Yarrowia lipolytica: one gene and its partner. The protein of the gene in region 1 interacts with the protein of each later gene in a biochemical or structural test. Links are inferred from orthologs where the notes say so. Each region holds a gene or a part of one and is shown on either strand. Other genes may lie near its edges.

Evidence for each region. The genes of interacting proteins can lie anywhere in the genome.
Region 2: the proteins of YALI1_E23691g (region 1) and YALI1_E26205g form a complex in vitro, tested with the Saccharomyces cerevisiae proteins (2 studies listed by BioGRID, with this or other methods). The link is inferred for Yarrowia lipolytica from reciprocal best matches to the Saccharomyces cerevisiae genes COP1 and ERV25.

Annotation. Positions count from the first base shown.
Region 1 is NC_090774.1:2,366,576-2,374,156, forward strand, and holds YALI1_E23691g (uncharacterized protein), read left to right. Parts: upstream 1-2,544; coding exon 2,545-6,330; downstream 6,331-7,581. Other genes in the region: YALI1_E23736g (uncharacterized protein), read left to right, coding at 7,063-7,581. UniProt on the Saccharomyces cerevisiae protein: The coatomer is a cytosolic protein complex that binds to dilysine motifs and reversibly associates with Golgi non-clathrin-coated vesicles, which further mediate biosynthetic protein transport from the ER, via the Golgi up to the trans Golgi network.
Region 2 is NC_090774.1:2,617,871-2,622,532, forward strand, and holds YALI1_E26205g (uncharacterized protein), read left to right. Parts: upstream 1-2,699; coding exon 2,700-3,335; downstream 3,336-4,662. Other genes in the region: YALI1_E26181g (uncharacterized protein), read right to left, coding at 1-270, 465-676; YALI1_E26223g (uncharacterized protein), read right to left, coding at 3,656-4,426.

The DNA.
Region 1 (7,581 bases):
GATGCGGAAAATGGCAATCAACTCGAAATTCCCTGGAGAATTGATTTATTCAAAAATCTTACCAATTGACCGACCTCTACCACCTCAAATTTCCATCCACTTTCCACTCATCCCCGTCAAAACATTAAACTTCCAAGAAACAAGTCTCACTTCAAAAAACCACCTCGAATTTCGGACTAAAAATCCCAGCCTACGACAATGCCATGTGGCGGGGCGGGTTGCCAAATAGGCTTCACCGCCAACGTTACAATTGGTGTGCATCAAATCGATTATCTACGCCGCATCTCGTCTCTTGCTAACGCCACTGCCATTTGCCACTCATGCAAGACTCGCATGAGTTGCTGTGGAGTGCAAGTATGTGCATGTGTCCATATGCGTCTGTAGATGGCGATGATTTGTAATTGCATATTTTGAGGGAGCAGGGAAACAGTGGCTCTTTCGATTCGGCGTTTTTCCGGCTCAATTGCGGCGTTTTTTGAACCCGTTTGGCTGGCCCTATTCTGGCTATTAAGTCACCACTTTTGACAGTGTCATTTAGCACAATTAAGATCACTATATAAATAAAGAACACAATATAAATAAAGAATATTGTTACTCGAACTTTTTTTCTCTCTAGAAAATATAGCTCTAGAAAAGCTACGAGCGACCAAATGTAAACAAAAATTATACCGCCGGAATTACACGATCGCCATCTCTCCAATTGACTACTTTTCAGCTCCATCCGGGCGCTCAATCATCAGCCGCAATGGTTCTCGTCCACCATTAAAGTTGTCATTTTATTTATTTTTATTCTGTTTGCCACCCAGGTCTTAGTCTTGAGTGCGCCCAAGAATGGAATAATTGCGAGAGATCGGCAGTTTGTCCGAACTGCATAAGTACGAGTTACAGTATCAGTATCGGTCGAGTCGAGCATGTGTCGACACACCTCGTTATCGGAGGTCTGATGAAGAGATCATGACTCAGCAACGAGACAGTTCCGCGATATCAACCAGTATAATAGGGAAACGTGAGAGTAATACTACTGAAGTATTGTATGGCCGGGTTCCAGAGCTATCTGGAAGGCTGTCCACAAACCTGATCAACATATTCAGATAGACGATGAACGTGAAAGGACGTGAAGGAACGTGAAAGGACGTGAAGGAACGTGAAAGGATGTGAAGTAAGATGATAGTCGAAGAGAACGTAAACCAATTGAGGACTTTTCATGTCATTGAGACGGTCGCAAAGTGACGATACGCAGTTGGACTAGGTATGATCTGCTAGAGTCCACACATCCACATTGAGTAAAGAGTACACTATAGAGTACACCGTTAGTGGACATCATTGTATCATTGAACTCCCCACGCCGGGCTGATTCGAATGGCGTAACTACTGGAGATATCGAGAAAAAGTGGGTTTTTCAGTGTTGCTTAGATCGAAGCTTTGAAAATCCACTTTGAAAAAATTACTGTTATCATGTTTACTACGAGTACAGAATGTAGGTCGTTTCATACGAAATTCCCGACATGCGAGTATTGTCACGTTTTTTTTTTTATATATATATTTTTATAATGACATAATACATTTTTATAACATACTAATATTTTTAATATCATTTTTACAACATGATATATTTTATTTAAAGACATTTTTACAACATCATACATATTACAACATACATTCCTACAGGGCTACAGTACATAATGTATGAATACAATGTTATAACATAACATTTTTCGTATTATTTTCTGCAGTATGCGTTTTTCTGTAGTGATACAACTTAAATAATTTATTGTCTCCAGTTGAGAGTTTACTTGGGAGTAGACGACGGGGATGTGAACAAAAGACTGTTCTAATTCCACCAAAACACGAGATATTCGGACCAAAATTTGACCGTATCATGTTTGGGCTACAATTGTCCGAATCAGCTTGTTATATTTGCTCCAATGCCTCCCACTTCCCATCCACAACACCGTTAGTGTCCTCCCCATCTTCCCCAAATTCTCCGTCAAAATAAACTTTGTGCCACGTTCTCCCAACACGTCACTTCGAGAACGCACTACCTCGATCTTTCTTCAACTGAGAACACATCTCACAATCCGTCAAGATGGAGATGCTAACTAAGGTGAGTAATCGAGGCGGGTTTTTGAGCGGTCAGGTGATCATTGGGCGAGAAATCGAGGCGGGTTTTTGAGCGGTGAGGTGACCATTGGGCGAGAAATCTAGACCGCCGGCGATGACACTATTAGGGCGACAGACAGAAGCGACACAGAAGCGACACAGAAGCGACACAGAAGCGACGCAGAAGCGACAGACAGCGTGGAATGAAGTGCGGGGGTGAAATGTGATCAACCGTTGCTCATGACGAGACGCATTATGGGACAAACGTGGTAGCGACATGGTAGCGACATGGTAGCAATGACAACAATATGATGACCTGTTGGCACACTGGCTTGGTTTGCCCATGTTCACGTTACTCCTTGTCGTTCACCAATCTGCTGCTTCACAACAGAGGTTGTTGCTTTAAGACAACTACTCGGTCTTGTTCACATTTGATGTGTCCAGATGTGTGTGACCACGGCCTGTTTACGTTGTGACGCGTTGTGTCATCCCGGTAGTCAGCTCATGCCATATCCTGATTCCACTCGTATACTAACCCAGTTTGAATCAAAATCTTCCCGAGCCAAAGGCCTAGCCTTTCACTCGACCCGCCCCTGGGTCCTGGTCTCGCTCCACTCGTCCACCATCCAACTCTGGGACTACCGAATGGGAACCCTGGTGGACCGGTTCGAGGACCACGATGGCCCCGTTCGAGGTGTCGACTTCCACAAGACCCAGCCGCTGTTTGTGTCCTGTGGCGACGACTACAAGATCAAGGTCTGGTCGCTACAGACCCGAAAGTGTCTCTTCACTCTCGTCGGCCACCTCGACTACGTGCGAACCGTCTTCTTCCACCACGAGCTGCCCTGGATCATCTCGTGTTCCGATGACCAGACCATTCGAATCTGGAACTGGCAAAACCGACAGGAGATTGCCTGTCTCACCGGCCACTCGCACTACATTATGAGTGCTCAGTTCCACCCCTCCGAGGACCTGGTTGTGTCTGCCTGTCTGGATCAGACCGTGCGAGTGTGGGACATTTCCGGCCTGCGAAAGAAGCACTCTGCCGGCGGCGGCGTGTCTGCTGGCGGCGCAGGCTCATCCATGTCGTTCGAAGAGCAGATGATGATGGCTGCTCGAAACAGCGGTGGTCCCGGCGGCCCCGGCGGACATCCCCAGCAGGGTGGCCAGGACATGTTTGGCAACCAGGACTGTATTGTCAAGTACGTTCTTGAGGGCCACGATGGTGGTGTCAACTGGGCGACTTTCCATCCCACTCTGCCTCTCATTGTGTCTGGTGGTGACGACCGGGTCCTCAAGATTTGGCGAATGAGCGACACCAAGGCCTGGGAGGTCGATACCTGCCGAGGCCACACCAACAACATTCTGTCGTGTTGTTTCCACCCCTACCAGGACGTGATTGTGTCTGTGTCCGAGGACAAGACGATCCGAACCTGGGACCTGCACAAGCGAACTCTCATCAAGCAGTTCAAGCGGGAGAACGACAAATTCTGGGCCCTCACTGCTCACCCCAACATCAACCTGTTTGCTGCTGGCCACGAGAGCGGTATCATGGTGTTCAAGATGGAGCGAGAGCGACCCGCCTCCACCATTGACGGCAACTCGCTGCTCTACATGTCTAAGGAGAAGCAACTCAAGCTGTTTGACTTCAACTCAGAGCAGGACAGTATGCCCCTGGTGTCTCTCAAGAAGTACGGCTCGCAGTATTCACCCATTCGGTCCATCAGCTACAACCCTGCTGCCCGGGCTGTGCTGCTGCTCACCAAGGACAAGGACCAGTTTAACTACAACCTGGTCCATCTGCCCAAGGACGCTGCCAGCGGTGGCATTGAGGCCACCGAGGAAATTGGCGGCAACGCTGCTCAGGCCGTCTTTGTGGCCCGAAACCGATTTGCCGTCTTCAACAAGAATGCCCAGACCATTGACATACGGGACTTGAGCAACACCACCACCCGAACCATCAAGCTGCCCAAACAGGTCAAGGATATTGTGGTTGTCCCCGGCTCGTCGGGCCAACTTCTCCTGCTGGGTCCTTCCCACGTCTACCTGCTGGACGTTGCCCAGAAGACCATTGTGGCCGAACTTGCTGTGTCCGGCGTCAAGTATGTCAACTGGAGCAAGGACGGCAAGCACGTGGCATTGCTGACCAAACACACCGTGACCATTGCTTCTGCCACCACGCTCAAGTTCATTTCGTCTCTTCACGAGACCATTCGAATCAAGTCCGCGTGCTGGGACGACAACGGAGTGCTGCTTTACACCACTCTCAACCATCTCAAGTACACTCTGCTCAACGGCGACTCCGGCATCATCAAGACTCTGGAGAACACTCTGTACATTGTGCGGGTTAAGGACCGACGAGTCTACTGTCTGAACCGAGCTGGCGAGGTGGAGGTGGTCCGAATCGACCCCACCGAGTACCGGTTCAAGCGGGCGCTGGTCAACAAGAACTTCTCTGAGGTGCTGCGAATCATCAAGTCGTCCAACCTCGTGGGCCAATCCATCATTTCGTACCTGCAGAAGAAGGGCTACCCAGAGATTGCGCTGCAGTTTGTGCAGGACCCTAAGGTCAAGTTTGATCTCGCCATCGAGTGCGGCAACCTGACCGAGGCCCTGGAGCAGGCCCAGATTCTGGACGAGCCCTCGTACTGGACGCTGCTCGGAAAGGAGGCTCTGTCGCAGGGCAACTTCCGAATCGTCGAGCTCGTGTACCAGAAGCAGCAGCTGTTTGACAAGCTGTCGTTTGTCTACGTGCTTGCCGGCGACTCGCCCAAGCTGCAGAAGATGGCTGCCATTGCTGCCCACCGAGGCGACGGTGCCTCCATGCTCCAAAACTCCCTGTACACCGGTTCGGTAGAGTCTCGAGTTGATCTTTTCCGATCGGCCGGTCTGCTGTCTCATGCCTACGCTGCTGCCAAGCACGGAGGTCTAGACGACGTTGCTGCAGATATTCTGGCCGAGGCCGGCGTTGAGGAGGGCGACGTGAAGATGACCCTTGGTGAGGGTCTCAAGCCCGCCACTCCCGCTGTCCAGCAGCCTCTCGGCGACTGGCCTCTCAAGCAGACTTCCCTTTCCTTCTTTGAGCAAGCTCTGCTTGGCCAGGTTGAGGTTGACGAAGGCGAGGACGACGACGACGAGGAAGACGGAGTTCGAGCCGTCACCTCGGACATGGTCGATCTCGACCTTGAGGACGACGACGGCGATGGTGATGCTGGATGGGACATGGGCGACGATCTCGACGTTGATGACGTTGAGGTTGCTCCCGTTGCTCCCTCTACTCCCTCGTCCAAGGGCCACAAGAAGAATGCTTCTGTGAACCTTGACGCCACTTCGTCCGAGCCCGAGAACTGGATCCGGGCTTCGTCTGTCGCCGCTGTGCATGTCGCAGCCGGTTCTTTCGAGACTGCCGCCCAGCTGCTCAATCGCCAGATCGGTATTGTCGACTTTGAGCCTCTGCGACAGCGGTTCATGACCGTGTACGAGGCCTCCAAGCTGTACTACAAGTCTAACGCAGATCTGCCTCCCCTGGAGCTCTTTGTGAGAGGCGCTCTCAACGACGACACCTCTCTGCCTCTTGTCCCCGGCTTTGACTCTCTTTCTTCCGATGTCAAGGCTGCTTTCCGGCTTATCCGAGCCAACGACGTCCCTGCTGCCATTTCCGCTTTCCGTCAGATTCTCTACACTGTTGCCGTCATGCTTGTGCCCACGCACGACTCTGTGGACGAGTGCGAGAAGATTATTGACATTTGCCGGGAGTACATTGGCGCGTTTTCCATCGAGCTGGAGCGTCGACGAATCGCCGAGGAGGATCCCAAGCGCAACCTAGAGCTGGCCGCCTACTTTACCAAGTTCAAGCTGCAGCCCGCCCATGCTGGTTTACCCTGGCAGGTGGCCATGACCCAGGCGTTCAAGCTCAAGAACTACGCTTCTGCTTCTGTGTACGCTGAGAAGTTCCTGGAGACCAACCCTGCTCCTGCGCAGGCCGAGAAGGCTCGAAAGGTGAAGCACCGAGCAGATGCGCAGCCTCTAGACGCCATTGAGCTGGACTTTGATGTGACCGCCAACTTTGCTATTTGTCCCCGGTCTCTCAAGCCCATTTACCCCGGCGATGCATCTGAGAAGGATCCTTTCACCGGAGCCGAGTACCTGCCCAAGCACAAGGGTCAGTTGGATGTTATCGGAGGTATTTCTGCCATTGGCGCTCCTTCCACCGGTCTCAAGTTGATTTAGTGGGGGACCAGTCTGTGGTGGTCTCAAAACTTGTTTGTATGTATGTAAGAATTGGAATGTTTTACCTAAGCTTGTGCGATACTTGTATATGGAGGCAGGAGCAATGATTTAAGGCAGTTTTTGTGTATCCAGCAATTTTCGGCAGTATTTGCGTTCCTCCAATATTTTTGCTTTGAATATTGTATTCTGAGTGTCAACTATAATCCTAAGTAAACCTCGACGTCTGTTGAGACAACTAATAGCAATATCCGGCAATTTTGTAGTGTACGGTCCGAGAATTGTTGGTTATTTAAATATATACGCTTTTTCTGAATTTTTTGGTATATATCTCTTTCTTCTGGCATATCTGGAACCTCTTATTTGCACCCCCAGCCGATTTTTTCTTCAACTAATTCCCAAGTAATTAACGTCGTGTTAAGTGATGGTGCCTCGAAACTCTGTTTGTTACCCCACATATAAGAGTGTGGGGGTGGTGAGTGGGGTGTGATAGTCAGATGTTGAGATACTTGGATGGAGGTTGGATATGAGAGGCGTTTTGATGTGGGTGTTTCTCCAGATGGAAATGGCTGAGTCAGATTCATTGCTGACTAATTTATATGGGTTATATATCTTCATTTATGACAATTTTGGACCACGTGAAAGTCTCCATATTAGCCTTGTTCTTAGTATATATAGTCTGTCCTATGCTCCCCTCCCTCCTTCCTTTTGGGACCCGATTCTCCTTTCAACAACATGGGCGAATTATCAGATCATACGGCCGTCATCACCGGCGGCTCCGGGGACCTTGGAATGGCCATCGCCGAGAAATTGGCCCTCAATGGATGCACTATCATTCTACTGGACTACAACCAGGAGGCTCTGGACAAGAGTGTTCCACTGATACCTGTTCCCGAGGGCCAGCGACACCAGGGCCATTTCTACGACGTTACCGGGGCTCAGCGACCGCCTGTGGACTTTGCGGCTGTTGATATTCTGGTCAATGGCGCGGGAATTGCCCAAGGAGGGTTCTTGCCAGATATGGAGGTGGAGCTCATCGACAAGATTGTGGCCACAAACCTCACTGGAGCCATCAAGTTGACCAAGTATGCCCTGGAGGCATGGGTGGAGCGCCACGAGAACTCGCCGCGTCCCAAGAGCCGTGGCAACGGCGTCATCATCAATCTGGCGTCGGTCCAGGGACTCCGGCCCATCATCCCGGTCTTGTCCGTCTACTCCACCACCAAGGCTGCTCTCAACATGTTCACCAAGGCC
Region 2 (4,662 bases), about 250 kb from region 1:
TTGTCCTTTTCGTGAGGCAGGTGTGTCAGCATTTTGACCGAGGACAGGGGCAGGTCTGACAGCATGATTCGAGTTTTGCACACGTTTCCGTCGGCGTCCAGAGAGACGCAGACAGACAGGCCATTGTGCAGCAGTGTGTCGACGTTTTCAGGTGTCTGGGCCGTCAGAAACGGCTCCAGCACGTTGAGGGCCGTGGCTGTCTGGGGCGGGATGTTGGGGAACTCTTGCAGACATGCCAGGAAAGAAGAGGGGGCTGACGGTATCGATGATCTGTGTTAGTGGCATTCAATAGGTGGTTTGGAGGTAGCATCAGGGAGAAGTAATGCTTCTTGCATCCAAACAGCTTTGTTGCGTTGAGGCAGTAGCATTGAAATTCAGGACGCAGGACGTATGGTCATGAAGACGTTCGCTCATGATGTAGTTCCTCTGCCAGAGCCGTGGCTCGTTCCGTCAGTTGTACTCACCCAATAAAAATACTCTGATCTTCGGAACGCTTCCAGGCGTGCTCCCACACGGAGTTGAGGAAATCGATGTCAATGTGGCCGTCAAGGACGAGCACCGAGGTGGAATCGATTCGAAGCGAACGATCTGCGGAGTTGTACTGCTGGTGTAGGGTGCCGAGCAGCGCCGAGGTCGATATTGGCACCGCGGCGGAAGACAGCGGAGGCACGTTCATCTTGGTGGCTTGCGTGTGTCGGGAAAGCTGTCCGTCTGAAGATGTCTACAGAATGAAGCTATTAGTGGAGCTACAGTACATACATACAGGTAGCCTCTCTCTTAAATGTGCGCTAAAAATAGTATGGTTTGAAACCAACCTTAGGTGGGAAAGAGGTAAACAGATGATTGGAAAAAGGTGGACTTAGTGTAGACATGTGTCAGTGGACATAAAATGAGGGACACAAGCTTCTTGAAAATCCTCAGCGCCTTTTGTCGTGGTGTTTTTCCACCCGGAAGCATTTCTACAAGAGCGTCAAATAGGGGGATGCAGCAAGTCCCAAGAATACAAAAATACCAACCTCATACAAGCACTTGTCCCACCCACGCACCCTTCATGCACCCTTGCACATGTCAGCCAATTGTGGTTATATATATAAGGCGGGCTATAGGCCACTTTGAGACGGTAGTGCCAGTGGGTGGCAGTCTGGTAGCGGCATTTTCCGCCCCACGGCTGATTATAGACTGCCACGGTTTCAAAAAGACTCAACATCCGCCTCTTTCGGCGTCTCTCTCGCCCGCAATATCTCTCACTGTACAGCCAGCAAACGGTATATTGATACATACAGGTAGGGCGGGTTTAGGCTGTAGGGAAAGGTGATGAGCCAGCCTCGTGCAAGGGGGGACGTGAAAAGAGCGACCTACGAAACCACCAGTTGGGATGGAAACAAACACAAAAAGCTCACTTTCAAGGACATGAGACTGCTGGGGTCGTGTACAGGAATTGCACTCCCGGCACACTAATTATAATCCCACATTCAACCCCTGACATTGACAGCTTGCAGTCTCCAGATAATTTAAATTGAAGGCTAATCCGGACCTGACAACACATGAAGTTGCACCAGTGATTGCAGAACAGAACAATGGTACTTGTACAAATACGAGTACTGGCCGAAGAGAAGTACATACGGTATATATATTGACCGATGACTTCTTAGATAGGCGAGTTAGACCACTACAAACATTGCAATATTGCAGTGTACAGTATGTATACTATACCGCGATGTGCTGTAGCTGGATACAGTACGATACCGGAACTTGTGCTGACACTTGAATTTTTCAGTCGTACTTTCAATCGTACTTTCAGTCGTACTTTCAGTCGTACTTTTAGTCGTACTCTCACTCGCACACTCGCCTCGTACAGTGTACATAGTTGTTCCGATAGCGATCATCTCTCCAAACTGATACAGAGGATCGACATGCTGCGCTGTCTGTCGGTGGTCACTATGCTTGATATACTACAAGTACCTGTAGCTATAGTGCAGTCATAATCTGACCGAGAAATGGAACGAAGCCATAGCCGAACTACAATGTAGTACCACAAGATGTGAAGCAGCAGCCAAATGAATGAACCTAGTTGGCTTTGGTGTTTTTTGGGCACCTGTTGACCCGCTTATTCATCCTTCCACCTCACTTGCCGTGCGTGTCTCTCCCAACTCGACCCCGGCACACGATCATATTACTGTATGCGCCAACGATCTTGTCTGAAGAGATGGATTAAGTTCTGTTGGAAGAGGAGGATCACGTGAATTGGGGTATAAATAGAGACCTAGACGTGTTTCGTCGGTTCGGAGGCTGTCACAACCCATCCCCCAACCCCAACCCCCCATCATATTCGTCACGTGACGGTGCGCTGCTCTCCCTCTCATTGCTATGAGTCTCCAACTGCTTCGTGGGCGCAATCAAGGTTCGGAGTTTTGAAAGGGTCTTTTCGCTTGATCTCAGATTGAGAGCCGTGCGCAGTGGACGTTATAAGGACTCTTTTCGACTGGCCCAGACCTCACTGCAAATCCACAGTCTGAACAGGGCCCCTAGCCACCCTTATATACTTTCTAGCCACCAGCTATACCGCTTTTAAGGACCACAAAGTTACCACCTACCACAACCCTGAACACGCGTAAAGTTAACACGTAACTATCACACGCTAAGTGCACTCCACCTTCCTACCTTTTCAACTCAACACATACACAGACCGAACGCCAACCATGAAATCCATCGTGAGCGTGCTGACCCTGCTGCTCCTCATCAACGCCGTGGCCGCCCTGCGGTTTGTGCTGCCTGCCAAGGACAAGAACGAGCTGCCCTTTTGTGTGCGAGACTTTGTCAAGAACGGCGAGCTCGTTGTCGTCACTGTCGAGTCTCCCAAGTACGCTGACGGCCAGCAGCTGAGCGTGGTCGTTCGAGACGCACATGGAAACGAGTACACCCGAATCAAGAATGTTCTGGGCCGAGAGATCACCACCTTTAGCTCTCATCAGGACACTGCTCTGGACGTGTGCTTCCACAACGTGGCCAACTCGCACCAGGATCTCGGAAAGACCAAGGAGATTGATCTGTCGGTCGCCATTGGAGCCAACGCCCGAGACTGGGAGCAGATCCAGGCCTCCGAAAAGCTCAAGCCCGCAGAGGTGCAGCTGCGAAAGATCGAGGAGATCGTCGATGAGGTGGACAAGGAAATGAACTACCTCAAGATGCGAGAGATCAGGCTGCGAGACACCAACGAGTCCACTAACCGACGAGTCAAGTTCTTCTCCGTCGGCATCACCTTGGCTCTCATTGCTCTCGGCGTCTGGCAGATCATCTACCTCAGATCTTACTTCCGATCCAAGCATATCATTTAAAAGGGGTTCAAATCAAAAAATTGATAATTGTTAGAATGAAAAGAGACACAATGTGACGCGCTCGAGAATGAGGACGCTTGAAAAGTGTCTGCTTGTAGTGGTCAGAAAGGACTGTTGTGTACTCGTAGAACGTGAAAGCTGATTTGGACGACAAATCGTGATCTGATGAACAATGGTTATAACGATTGTAATGGTTGCACTATATACTCACTACTTGTATGGTCATTAGGTAATTCGTATCTTTCGTTACATATAAATAAACGCTCGCCAAGAGGTCATCGCATATGCTTGCGTCTGATCTGGGTCTCTCTTCTGGACTTTTAGAGCTTCTTCAGTAACCCCTCAAATGCTTGAATATCAATCTTGCCGCCGACAGCTCCAGCCACCTCCATCATGTCTTTGAAATCCTTCTCACTGGCGTTATCTTTCACCAACTTGGCTATTCGTCGTAGATCAGCAGTGTTAATCGTGTCTGACTTTGTGAACCATGAGAACGCCAGAGGCACATCTTCTACAAAAACATTGTTCTTCTTCCTCTTCTTCTTTTTCGGTTTCTCTTCAATCGGCTCAATTATTCCACCTGTCCCTCCATCACTGGCAACAAAGAACCCTCCTCCTTCATCGCCCTCTTCTTCACTGGCCACAAACCCACCTCCCTCGTCTTCGTCACTGGCCACAAAACCTCCGCCGCCTTCACTCGATGCGTCGTCTTCAATGTCAGCGATTTCCTCCGCGAGAAACCCTCCCTGGTCGTCCCCTGAGCCCTCTCCTTCAGACACAAACCCCGGATCCAGCACCTGGCGCGTGATCATGCGTGAAAAGCCGTCACTGAAGTCGTCGAAGGTGATCACATCGTTGAGAAAATGCGGTTTGAGTATATTCACGCATTCGTCAAGGTTGTCCGTGCCCGAAAACTCCTCCACAGACCAACCCAGGTCCATTATCACGAGTGGCACATCAAACGCCGATATGACTCCGTCTTCTGCATGTTCGTCGAACGCCGCCTGTAAAGCCGTTTTCTCCACTCCCGACAATCGCACCGGTCGCCCAGGCTTGGCACTGCTGATGGTGAATGACTTGGTCCAGTCCATGTCCTGTGGTGGTGTTTTCTGAATCAGCACTTTATTGTATTGTGAAGAAACAGAGATGGTTCAAGGCACTTGCAGTTCACATGCAGGTGTTTATGGCGATGCCCATTTTGGAGGCGCAGCAGCCAGTCCACTTGTGCTTGAGACAAACTGGTGGCCAATATCTAAAGTCGGCTTAGTAATTGTTTGCAATACTCAATTGCCTGCTTCGCCTACTTTTTTGCCTCTCGGAACCCACT